Arabidopsis thaliana: one gene and its partner. The protein of the gene in region 1 interacts with the protein of each later gene in a pairwise test. Each region holds a gene or a part of one and is shown in the gene's direction. Other genes may lie near its edges. The genes, in order: RLP53 and AT1G67860.

Region 1 (8,219 bases):
ATATAAGACTCAGACAATTATAGAAGAAGCCAAGACTGTTTTTAGAAACTTGAGAAAATAGCATTCATACTTGGGAAAACATACAATTCAATACAAACTCGTAATCAGGCACAAGAAGAGACAGTTAAACTCATAATCTAAATGAAGAATACATATATAATAGATCATTATAAAACGTACACCAAGTCAAAGATCAGTTTTTGGAACAACAAGAACTAATTATAAGGGAACATCATTGGATCTGCAAACGACGGTGCTTGATTCCATGCCGCAAACTGATCAAAGGGGACAAGTGGGGTTTGTGTCTGCATCTGAGGAGGAAAAACCATGGGAGGAAGATCAAAGTTACTTCCTAGACCAGATCCTTGTTCCCCAAGTAAAGCCGATTGGTCAAAGCTAGAAACTGAGTCAGGGACTTGATAGAAGCTACGGTTGTCATGGTTATAGAGAAAGACTGAAATTCTGCTCTGATTTTGACTCAATGATGACGTCGATAGGTCTTGCTCTGTGTTTGACACACCACTCATCAATGGTTCTGTCCATTGTTGATGACGATGATCCTCAATTAGCGAAGGAGGAGGAGACAATGGATTCGTTGTGGAAGAAACCGCACGGGTCTGACCAAACTCGGTCTGGTTTTTCTCGGGTTGGAGTAACAGAAGCTTATCTTGTAGTACTCGTAGACCACTTTCTAACGAATCCTCCATCTCTAAGACTTTCTCCGACAATTTAGTGTCGTCGAGGATCTTCTTACGTAGAAACAGAGAAAGGTTGGTTCTTTTCTTGCATCGCTCTCTCTCGTGTAATCTGCTAAACCTCTCAGCCATGTCTCGAACTTTTGATTGATCCTCCGGCCATGTCTTGATGAGTTTTCCGTCACGACCATAGTATATGACACAGACATCGATGTTGCACAGAGTTGAAAGCTCCAAGGCTTTCTTGAACATGGTCTGTTCTCTCATAGACAAATTCGTGGTCTTTTTTGCAGTAGAAGAAGAAGACAGGGACGATTTCTTGAAACAAGTTTGGTTTCTCACAGACAATTTGGTTTTCTTCTTCGTCGACATTGAAGAATCCATTGTTGTTGTTTACCCACAGAAAAAGAAGAAGAAGATACCTAGTTTCTTATCAGAGAGAAACCTAGAAAATAAACTTAGTGTAACTAACACACGGTTCAGGGTTATATAGAATTGTGAAATTCTTGTATTTCCATATAATATTTGATATTGATTTTACTAAACCAAGAGAGACAAATTGAGCTGTGGGTTTTATTTCCTTTTTCTTTAGAGTATCTTTTCTTCGTTAAATGATGATGATTTACTTCTATTAATCTAACCGTTGTGATATTTAAGTAATGAAATTCCCTTTTTGTTTGCTGTCTATGAGATAAATCTTAATTAGATACGATTTTCCTTTACCAATATCAATGTAACCGTTGTAGATACGATCTTAGATACGATTTCCCACATCCAGTATCTTATTATATAAAGTATAGTTTTTAAAGTTACTAACTCATAAGATTGTGGCACGTGTCAAGTCTAATAATGAGAAGTTTATATGTGTCATTAAAGATTTAACTTTTTAATTTTCTTAAAAAAATAGAAAACCTTAAAAAGAAAAATTTACATATATTAATTTCTTATTATATAAAGTACAGTTTTCAAAATTACTACCTCATAAGATTGTGGCACGTGTCAAATCTAACATTGAGATGTTTACATGTGTCATTAAAGATTTAACTTTTTAATTCTCTTAAAAAAATAAAAAACCTTAAAAAGAAAAATTTACATATATTAATTTATATATATCTAACAATATTTAAACTTTATTTTTCTTAACAAAAAAGAAAATTAACAAATTTGAAAACACATATATTATTGGTCAATTAAATAAATAATCATGTATTAATTTAAAAGAAAAATCATTAAGTATGAATAATAACTAATTAAAAAGACCACTTAAGTTTAAAATAACAATATAATTTATTTAAAATTAATTTAATTGGATAAAATTGTGTTTATCATTGTAATATAGTGTTTTCATTTGTTAAATTTTGAACACAAAAATATTTTTAAAATTTAGTGACCTTATTATAATAAATTTTTAAATATTTAAGATTTATTCTAAGAATTTTAACGTATTCGGTGATTGAGCAACTTGGATCCTTTGATATGTCACTAAAAGCTTATAACTATGTTTTATTGTAAAAAATTTAACGCATGTAGTCATAAGTTAAAACACAAGATTTTTGGAGAGAACAACTTATATGATTTACTTTTCAATTACTTAAAAAGAAGTTAGTATATTTTTTAATTAATTTTAACTCATTTAAAATAAGTTTACATAAGAGAAAATTACGCCATATATAAAGAAACATTTTAAAAAGTTTTGCTTTTCAAATATTTTTGTGGATTTTTTTTTTGTTAAGTTTTGTTTACTGTTTATTATTTTTTTAATATCAACAAAGATATATATTAGATCTGATATAAATATATTTTTTTAATAAAAAAAAATTCACTTAAGATGAAGTGTTTAGAATGAAAATCGAGTATATTATGATGAAATAGATACTTAAATTGTATTGCAAAATTGAATGTGTAAGATAGAAATTTGTAGGTTATTATTTAGAATTCAAATATCATCAATAAGCTTGAATGTGTAGAATTAAAATGTATGATAAAAGAGAATGTATAAGCATCAAATTTTGTTAAATAAAAAAATATTAAATTAATTGTCAAAAAAAATATAAATTACTATTTTATTATTCAACATTTGAATACTGTCAATAAAGATTTACATCTAAATCACACACCCGCCTATTTAGGCGGCCTTATTAGTTTTTTATAAAATAGTCCCAAATTTTAGTTTTAAGTAAACACAAAGAGGAATATTTATACTCTTCCGAGTTCGCTGACATATGGTAAAATGGGCCTTCGTTTTCTTTTATCCGCCTTCATTGTTGGGCCCTAGCCCAGTTGTTTTTTTTGCGCAAAATTAATACATCGATGGGGATTGACTCTTGACGCTGTCGATCATCACTATTCACTAGCACTAGTAACAATGAACAAGTCATTGCTTACCTGCAGAATTCATTTTCCACGATCAATTTAATTTGGCTGGACAAAATACAACGTTTTTTTTTCATGTTCCCTGTACGTAACTAAAAAGTAAGACAAAAGGAGTGGAAATGGACATTATTCAACGTAAAGACTTTTTAAGTCGTTGCGTTTAACGTGAAAAACGCCTCGGAGGGTCAAGCTGTGTTGGAATTATCTTTGTGGAATAGAGTCTATTATTTTTGTATATAAAGAGATGGGCATGAAAACATGTTACGTACCATCACAATTTCCAGATTTTATTTTTTTGCTTTTTCACTATCAATATTCAAGAAAATTAAATTAGCTTAAGAATGATGGAAGGCTTTTGGAACTCAAAGAGTATCATTCGTATTACTCTCTCTTTTATTTTCTTATTCATTTGTCATTTTCTGGACGTGCTTGCGGCTCCAACTAGGAACTTGTGTCGTCCCGAACAAAGGGATGCACTCCTCGCGTTCAAAAACGAGTTTGAGATTGGGAAGCCTTCTCCTGATCATTGTAAGATTTATGGCATTGAATCTCCTCGGAAGACGGACTCATGGGGGAATAACAGCGACTGTTGTAATTGGGAGGGAGTCACGTGCAATGCCAAGTCCGGGGAAGTGATCGAGCTAGACCTAAGCTGCAGCTCTCTCCATGGCCGGTTTCATTCCAACAGCAGTATTCGAAACCTTCATTTCCTAACCACTCTAGACCTTTCATTTAATGATTTTAAAGGTCAAATCACGTCATCAATTGAAAATCTTTCTCATCTCACCTATCTCGACCTTTCTTCTAATCATTTTTCGGGTCAGATTCTGAATTCAATCGGAAACCTTTCTCGTCTCACCTATCTCAACCTTTTTGATAATCAATTTTCGGGTCAGGCTCCATCATCAATTTGTAATCTTTCTCATCTCACTTTTCTAGATCTTTCTTATAATCGGTTTTTTGGTCAGTTTCCGTCTTCTATCGGAGGTCTTTCTCATCTCACCACTCTCAGCCTTTTCAGTAACAAATTTTCGGGTCAGATTCCATCTTCAATTGGAAATCTTTCTAATCTCACCACTCTCGACCTTTCTAATAACAATTTTTCGGGTCAGATTCCATCTTTTATTGGAAACCTTTCTCAACTTACCTTTCTCGGCCTCTTTAGTAACAATTTCGTTGGTGAAATCCCATCTTCTTTTGGCAATCTAAACCAGCTGACCCGCTTATATGTTGATGACAATAAGCTCAGCGGAAACTTTCCCAATGTCCTACTGAACTTGACAGGGTTGTCACTTTTATCACTCTCCAACAATAAGTTCACAGGCACGCTTCCTCCTAATATCACTTCACTATCCAACTTGATGGATTTTGATGCAAGTGACAACGCCTTCACCGGAACGTTCCCTTCTTTTCTCTTCACCATTCCTTCTTTGACTTACATTCGTTTGAATGGTAACCAACTCAAAGGCACTCTTGAGTTTGGAAATATATCTTCACCATCTAACCTATATGAGTTAGACATTGGCAACAACAACTTCATAGGACCAATCCCTAGTTCCATTTCCAAATTAGTCAAACTTTTCCGACTTGACATTTCCCATTTAAACACCCAAGGCCCAGTTGACTTTAGTATCTTCTCCCATCTCAAGTCACTCCTAGATCTAAACATATCCCATTTGAACACCACCACTAGGATCGACTTGAACTATTTCTTATCATATTTCAAAAGGCTCCTTTTATTGGATCTCTCAGGCAACCATGTTTCGGCCACAAACAAAAGTTCAGTTTCAGATCCTCCTTCGCAATTGATACAATCTTTGTACTTGTCAGGGTGCGGTATCACTGAATTTCCAGAGTTCGTAAGAACCCAACACGAATTGGGGTTTCTAGACATTTCCAACAACAAAATCAAAGGTCAAGTTCCTGACTGGTTATGGAGGCTACCAATCTTGTACTACGTGAATCTTTCCAACAACACTTTAATCGGTTTCCAAAGACCATCGAAACCTGAACCATCTCTGCTGTACTTGCTTGGCTCCAACAATAACTTCATAGGCAAGATTCCTTCTTTCATATGCGGGTTGCGTTCTCTAAACACACTCGATTTATCTGACAACAACTTTAATGGTTCAATCCCTCGTTGCATGGGACATCTCAAGAGTACTCTTTCAGTTCTAAACCTTCGTCAGAATCATCTTAGCGGAGGTCTTCCAAAGCAAATATTTGAAATACTGAGGTCTCTTGATGTCGGCCATAACCAGCTAGTGGGAAAGCTACCAAGATCTTTGAGTTTTTTCTCTACTCTTGAAGTTTTGAACGTGGAAAGCAACAGAATCAACGACACGTTTCCCTTCTGGTTGAGTTCTCTACCGAAGCTACAAGTTCTTGTATTACGCTCCAATGCATTCCATGGACCAATACATGAAGCCACATTCCCTGAGTTGCGCATCATCGATATATCACATAATCGCTTCAATGGAACTTTGCCAACAGAGTACTTTGTGAAGTGGAGTGCTATGTCATCACTTGGAAAAAACGAAGACCAGTCTAACGAAAAGTACATGGGATCAGGCCTTTACTACCAAGATTCAATGGTTTTGATGAATAAAGGTGTAGCGATGGAGCTGGTACGTATCCTCACAATCTACACAGCAGTCGACTTTTCCGGAAACAGATTTGAAGGAGAGATTCCAAAGTCCATTGGTCTATTGAAAGAGCTTCTCGTGCTCAGCTTGTCAAACAATGCTTTCAGTGGCCACATGCCTTCATCTATGGGGAACCTGACAGCTCTCGAGTCATTGGACGTTTCTAAGAACAAGCTTACAGGAGAGATTCCACAAGAGCTAGGGGACCTTTCGTTCCTTGCGTATATGAACTTCTCTCATAACCAGCTTGCAGGCCTAGTACCAGGAGGCCAGCAATTTCTAACGCAAAATTGCTCTGCCTTTGAAGATAACTTGGGACTTTTCGGCTCTTCTCTTGAAGAAGTTTGCAGAGATATTCACACGCCAGCATCACATCAACAGTTTGAAACGCCGGAAACAGAGGAAGAAGACGAAGATCTGATTAGTTGGATAGCAGCTGCAATAGGATTCGGACCTGGTATTGCCTTTGGTTTGATGTTTGGATACATACTCGTTTCCTATAAACCAGAGTGGTTCATGAACCCTTTTGACCGAAACAATCGTAGACAGAAAAGACACAAAACAACTCACTAGAGAGGTAATGTTCTGACTCTTAAAACGAATTAGTTAGCAAACATTAGAATAAATTACGTGAACAAACTTTTGAATATAGGTCCGTAATTGATACCGAAATTTGTGAAATATCTCTTTGATCTTTCGTTTTCGCACACAGCACCCAGAAGCAATCGAAAATCTGTTTCGGTGATTAAACCGCTGAAATTTTTAAAAATGTAAACAACTCTTATGTTTGGAATTTGGTGCTTTCTTATAGGCACAATCCTAGGGTGTCCAAAGATAACAACAGAGAAGGAGGTATGAGAGAAATGAAGCTCATATACAAAGATCTGCATTTATGGTTTAATTTGTTTTGTCTAAGAACTCTCAAATGTCTAGTTAATACCTTTCATTTTGCTTGTGAATAAGTGAACCATAAGTACATTTGGAGTGATATAAAGCTTTTAGTTTAATGGCAATGTAAGTTTCATGTGATAGTTAAAACCAAACCTTTTTACGGCGAAGAAGTAGAACGATGGAAGTGAGTTCAAAAAAAACAACCATATATACTAGTTTCTGTGGTCATATACAAAATCATGTTATAGAAAACACACACACACAAAGTATAGAAGAAAGAAAAACAACATGTTTCTTATGTTAAACTCTAGGGGTTTGTGCAAGTCACCACCACTATGACGAGTTATTTTAGATTCTGAAAGCTCTCAAGAAGTCTGTGTAGCATTTCAAGGTAGGATAGACAAAACGTCACTTGAAGACATGTAAAGTTGCAAAATTCCGCTAGTAGTTCTGTTTTCATGTTTTGGTAGAGGTACTCTCAATAAGAATCTAAAATATAATGAAAACAACATTTTATATATAACTATGAATTTGGTAATTAAGACATAGACCTCTGCAGACTGCAGTATGCCAAGGGCTAATTAACTCTCGAGAATCCGGTGAAGATTTACGGATCAAAGTTTGCATCAGTAAGCCAACAAGAGCAAAACAATACCAGATTAAGGCAACTACATTAAACTTGGCTAAAGAACTTGTATGCTTATGATTTTACTCTCTATAATATCATCTTCGAAATTCAGATACGTGAGCATATGGGCATCAATCAAAAACCCTGTGCCTTAAATTCAACAATAATGAATAATGAGTGAGAAGTGTACACTTAAAACCTTAACATTATCACTAGCCTTCTGGAATAATTAAGCTACTGTATAGCTTCATAATTGGCATATACAATTTGTTCTATAAGCATGAACTTGACAAAAATTTCAGAAACTGACTAGATATCACACATTAAAACCTGTTGCAGTCTTAAGTACAACAATGTCTAACATATATAAAGACTTATAAGGGGATCACCTTTAAAACAATAACGCTCCACATGACACTAATTAACATCAAGATCCTTAAGTTTACGATTAACCACAGAATCTATCCACCGCGTGACACAAGACTGTTCACTCTCAGTCCTCCGGATACACTAAAGACCTATCAAGAAAACTCACTAAGGCATTGTAATCTGGGAACTCACTGGCATCTAAATCCAACAACTGAACAAAGTCAGTTTTTTTTCCACATCTTGGACAAAACATTAGTATTAAGTATTAACAACAACTTTTGACGGAAGCTGCTACAAGAGCGTCTGACATATCAAAGTGTCAGGTAATATGATTATCATATCCTCTTCTATAAGCTTTCCTCCATTGAGTTCATTCACAAATTGAACCGAAAATTTCACAGAATATCTTGCTCAATTACTCAATTAGTTGTCTTACCTGCATCAATTATGGACATCTAACATTCAATGTCTAATGTATATTCAAACTCAAATTTAAGACTCATAGACAAAAATAGAATTGAGAAAATAGCATTCATAGTTAGGAAAACATACAATTCAACAGAAACTCTTAATCAGACAATTAAACGAACACATAATCTAAACTAGAAACAGAACGAG
Region 2 (5,483 bases), on another chromosome or scaffold:
GGCTGTCAGGATCGACCCAGATTGACCGTGGCTCAACTGATGGATGAACATGTTAAAAATATTTACATATTTTATGATTTCTAACACCATCATCATGGTGACAACCATCTTGCATTTACTTGATGAGATCTAGCCAACTTTCTGGTATATTTGGTGGGCTTCCTCCGATTTTCAAAGTACATATCGGATTATCGGTTGTATATGTGTTATGTTAGGCACGTTTCACTAAATTTTTGGAATAGTTCCTTTAATAGCAAATGTTTTGATCTTTTCAGTTTCGTGGATTGATGTGGGATGCTACTTAAGTGGTGTATTTTTCTATCCAAATTGAATTTATCATCATTTTACTTATGGTTACCAAAGCTGAAAGTAATCCCTACGGTCACCACAATCACCGTTACTTCTCTTGGAGGTTCTCTTCTTTGCTTCGTCTAAGGATCATTGGTTTGTCTCCAATATTCTAACACAAGTCTTCTTTCCTCATCTTCTTCCTACTTAATCTCGGTATTTTTTAACCCTCACCATTGAATATCCCATGGTCTTTAGACTTCTTGTGTTACTTCCCACTTTTCGCTAACGTGGCCGGCTTACTCATGTCATGCACGTTACGTGGCTATTAGCAAAGAACAAAAAAAAAAAAAAAAAAGTTACACAACGCTTCGTCGAAATCCAAAAATGAATGAAAATTTTAACTCAAACAAATTTAATATAAAATCAAATAAAATCCGTAATAAATAGAACTAGACTAGGTTTAATTTCCAGTTTCATTATTATGCTTCCATTAATACTCAGCCAATTCCGAAATGTTCCCATATGAATAGGACTGATCTTTAATTTAAAAGACGAACGGAATTAGAACAAACATGACTATTCAACTTTCGTGGTAGAAAAGAGAATAAGATTCATATGATCGTACGATGATATTTCGAATAATCTCCAAAGGGAATAACATTTTCTTCTTTTACCTCATAGAAATCTGTTTTTTAAAATAAACTTTACACTGTCATTAACGTTTTTTTTTTAATAATCGGGACTAGGTCTTTGTCGACCGAAGTCCAAACTAATTCCTGAGCCAAGTATTAATATGAGTTTTATTGCCACTGAAAGCGTCGACGAGTGGCTAAGCGGGATAGTTAGATAATTCCACGTTTAAGGAAATTCTTTTCATGGACTAGACCAACAATGAGAATCCGCTATCACTTGGTTAAGAGAGACTCTTCAAACTTTGCAAGCATTAGATGCAATTTCCATCATAACGATTGAAGAGACCATTCCACGAAGGAGATGGGCCTTACACTAAACTTATCCACACATCTTTTCTAATGTTCGTTACTAGTATTGCTGTCAAAACATGCCTTTTTGGACTAAACATTAGTTGATACACATACAACATCTATTTTTGAGGGTCTATAGGGTCTGATTTTTTAAAGAAAACGTGTCCGTAGACAGAAACCTCCTTAGTTTGGATCTTTCCCATGTGATCATTATTAAAAACGACGAACGGAATTAGAACAAACATATCTATTCAACTTTCGGTAGTGATGGTACTAAGAGAATAAGATTCAGATCATAAAAAAGGGAACTATATACAAGAAATTTTTTCTATATATAGAAAACATCTGAAAGATTAAAACACTTATCCATATCAAAGAAAACTAACACAAGTAGATAAATATAAAGAAAAATGCTTGATAAGCTTATTATTGGGGTTGCCGGAGGGATTACCGGAGGGATTCTTGGAACGGTCGATGGGTTTGCCAAAGGGGTCGGGATATGGCCCAATAATTATCAGAGCACCGGTCGCTTCGAGAACAACAATATGACGAGTCCGGGAAACTACGGCAATGGTAATGGCGGTGCAGTGAAGGCATCCGAGAACTCCGGCGGCCGCCGCCAGAAAGACAGGGAGTAAAGGACTCCTGACCACACCCAGTAATGATTATGTATCCAAAATAATAAATGTATACGATGTATGTATAAGATGGACATGTTTCAGTATCTTACCAAAAATATAGGAGACTTTTAATGAAAAGTCTTCTTGTTTAATTTTATGAACTTTATGATTAATAAAAGGAGTGTGTTTAATAAAAGTGATGTATATTAACAGTTATTTCCACACGTGAAAAGATTGAATTTATTTGCACACAATTAAGTTTGAAAAGTAACGTTATGGTGTAACGAAAACCCTAATGAATTTATAAGTTACGTAGTGCAGTAGGATATGTCGTTTTAATGTTTCTGGTTCATCTAAATAATTAGATAATTTATTTTGCATTTATCGACCAAAACTTTAAGCTCATAGATTTGATTCAAACAAGTAATTCATTTACTAAATTAGACGGATCATAGGATTTTTTGTTGATTCGATTAGCCTTTTCAGTTATGCAATGTTCTTGAGGGAAACACAAACACAGATAGCATATTTGGCGACAGCGTCTGCCTTTTGAATTGGAAAGACGAGAAATATAACTAAAGGAGATAGAACGGAAACAACCTTGAAGCTGTCGAATTTCTTGAAGAATTCCATGAATGTCATTGATAGAGTTGTCTACACTTTTATCTCAAAAATCAAACGAACCTTACACAAGCAATGTTTTTTTTTTTTCCAATAATCAGAGTCTTCCTAAATCCAAAGTCTAGACTAATTCTTGAACTTAATACTAATAGAAATGTTTTCTTGCAATTTACAGCGTTATGGAGTCTAAGTTGAATAGTTAGATTATTACACTTTTATAAGGCTTTATTTTCTGGCCTAGAACAACGACCTGAATCTTCAACAAGGGGAAACTTTAAGTCCACTTCCACTTGGAGAGTCTTCAAACTTTGCAAGCATTAGATGCAATTTCCATCATAGCGATTGAAGGACCATTTGAGTGACAAGTAAGACGGGTCGTGTATGTCCATAGTTATCTTGTTTTCCACTTTCTTTCCATCTACTTCACGAATTTTTGTGATCGTTGAATTTTTTAAGACGAACGGAATAAGAACAAACATGTCTATTCAATTTTACGTATGGTGGTGGTAAAAAAAAAAGAATAAGATTCTTATCATATCATGGATATCATATGACGAATAATTGCCATAACAAACAAACTTAAGTGAACACTACGAGAATTGTATAAATATATACAAACATCTGAAAGATTGTAAGCTCTTATTCATATCAAAGAAAAACAACAGAATTAATATATAAAAATGCTTGATACGCTTATTGGAGGGATTGTCGGAGGGATTGCCGGAGCGATTATTGGAACGGTGGATGGGTTCGCCAGAGGGATCGGAATATGCCCCGATAGTTACCAGAGCTGCACTCGTACCGACTGCGAGGAGCACAAAAAGAAGCTCCCGACCAACCTTAGCCGTAACGGCGGTGCAGCAGCAGTGAAGGCTAAGGAGAACGGCCGCCGTCGCCGCCAGAAAGACAGGGAGTAGAGGACTCTAGACTACCCAAATATTCTGACGGTTCAAATAAGAAAGTAACGATTATGTACTCCCCATATAATAAATGTGTAAGATGTATCATGTATTTGTGTGACGGACTTTTAATGAAAATAAATGTTCTTGTTTAAGTTTTTTTTTTTTTTTGTCAGCGTTCTTGTTTAAGTTAATAAATCATTTATCATATTACATAAGAAATATATATTAGATCGGTATATAAATTGACTTTAATATATATTTATCGACAAAATTTGAAATGAATATTTAGGAAGTATATTATATCTCATTGAACTATATATATAGAAAGAGAAAACGAAAAGACTATTTACGAAAATGATTGGATTAAGATATGTTGTTTCACGATGAAGACAAGGGAAAAAAACCCTCAAGTTACATGCTTTAATGTTCATTACATGAATCTACTTGTTAAAATAACATAAGTACAAGTGAGTTAAGGAACAAAGAAAACTAATTACGTTAACTAGAAAAGATGGGTTTGTGCGTAGACTTGTATTGGAATTTTCATGTGGATCACAACTATATAGGTTTTCACAACAACTGGTTATTTAGTTGTCTTCCTCTTATATACACTAAATATATTATCTCTCACATTGCTCAATAAAATTAATATATGTTAAAATTCGAAAACATAACACCAAAAAGTATGTAATATCAGTAATTTTTTTAAAAAAATACAAATAACACTAAAATCATGTATTTATTTTTGTTATATATGTGCAGTTTATAAAATTATTATTATATTATTAGAAACTTAGATTTACATTAAAATTTTCAAAAAATAATTATTTTTCTATCTTATCGAATTGTATTAGTTTTTATATTACTCCTACTCGAAACTAGAAAATATAAATAATTTATAACATTTTTTTTTTATTTGTCCAGTATTAGTTTATAAAAGTTTTACTATATATCATAATCTCTTGAATCCTTCTTATCATATGAAGGAGAATATCTTCGATATTTTTTAGTGGTCCTAGGTCAACATGACGAATCCTCATCAAGGCAAAACCACAAGTTATCTCTCCAAGCAAGATGCAATTTCTATCATAACGATTGAAGAGACCATTCCACAACGGAGATAATTAGCCTTACATTGAACTTATACACACATATTTTCCTACTTTCTTTACTAAAGTTGTAGTCAAAACACGCCATATCATCCATTGTTAAAGGTATCTAGTTCGATCGAATAACCATCAGTGACTCTCGTTTACCGTTTTCTGTTTGTTCATGGGCATATATACCTTTAGCCAACTATCCTCTAAATACAACAATAGACATGTCACATATGCGTCAATATATTTAATGGTCCAATGAACATTGGCCAAACCTGGAATAATCTAAAGGAATAAAAGGTATCGGATTCAACGTAATCCTTAAGACTCCAATACTAAACATGCGTAGATATAATCCCTCTGATGATTAATTTAAATGCGTACTGAGTAATAAGAAGATATCAAACAAGAATTTCAATAGAAACAATGGTGCCTGAGACCTTCCTTCAGCATAAAACTCATCATCATCGTCACCATACCCATCATCATCACATGAATTCGATGGCAGAGAAACCTAATCATCAAGTTATGGAGTACGAAGACTTGAGTCATGACGTGATGAAGACGTCATCACATCATATGAGGAAGGTGAAGAGTGAGAAGAAAGCAAAAGATGAAGATGTTGATAAAGAAGCAGAGAATTTCATCAATCTAAAGCACAGAAAATTTAACAACTGTATTATCTAAGTTTCAGTTAGTAGAGATTCTGTTATATATGCAAAAGATGTAACACTGTTCTTCTAATTGTCACATCTACTTTTATTTTGGTTGTGAATTACAAGAAAACTGGTGTATAATCCAGTTGTTAACATGAACCACATACTATCAGAGCACAGCTATCAAAAGCACATTTATTCGTTATAAAAAACCTTACAAAACCCACAAAGTGGACACAACAGAATCTGAGTTTCCCAAAATAGAAACTAGAAAACATTTAAAAAAAAATTGTGAAAAGCCATAAAAGGAAAG

The links.
Region 2: the proteins of RLP53 (region 1) and AT1G67860 interact in a protein complementation assay, tested with the Arabidopsis thaliana proteins (one large-scale study listed by BioGRID).

The regions. Positions count from the first base shown.
Region 1 is NC_003076.8:9,520,601-9,528,819, reverse strand, and holds RLP53 (receptor like protein 53), read left to right. Parts: upstream 1-3,341; 5' UTR 3,342-3,409; coding exon 3,410-6,286; 3' UTR 6,287-6,290; intron 6,291-6,524; 3' UTR 6,525-6,842; downstream 6,843-8,219. Other genes in the region: AGL53 (AGAMOUS-like 53), read right to left, coding at 216-1,079; AT5G27065 (uncharacterized protein), read right to left, coding at 4,118-4,153, 4,216-4,491; AGL101 (AGAMOUS-like 101), read right to left, coding at 8,182-8,219.
Region 2 is NC_003070.9:25,442,889-25,448,371, reverse strand, and holds AT1G67860 (uncharacterized protein), read left to right. Parts: upstream 1-3,014; 5' UTR 3,015-3,195; coding exon 3,196-3,432; 3' UTR 3,433-3,620; downstream 3,621-5,483. Other genes in the region: AT1G67865 (uncharacterized protein), read left to right, coding at 1,685-1,912.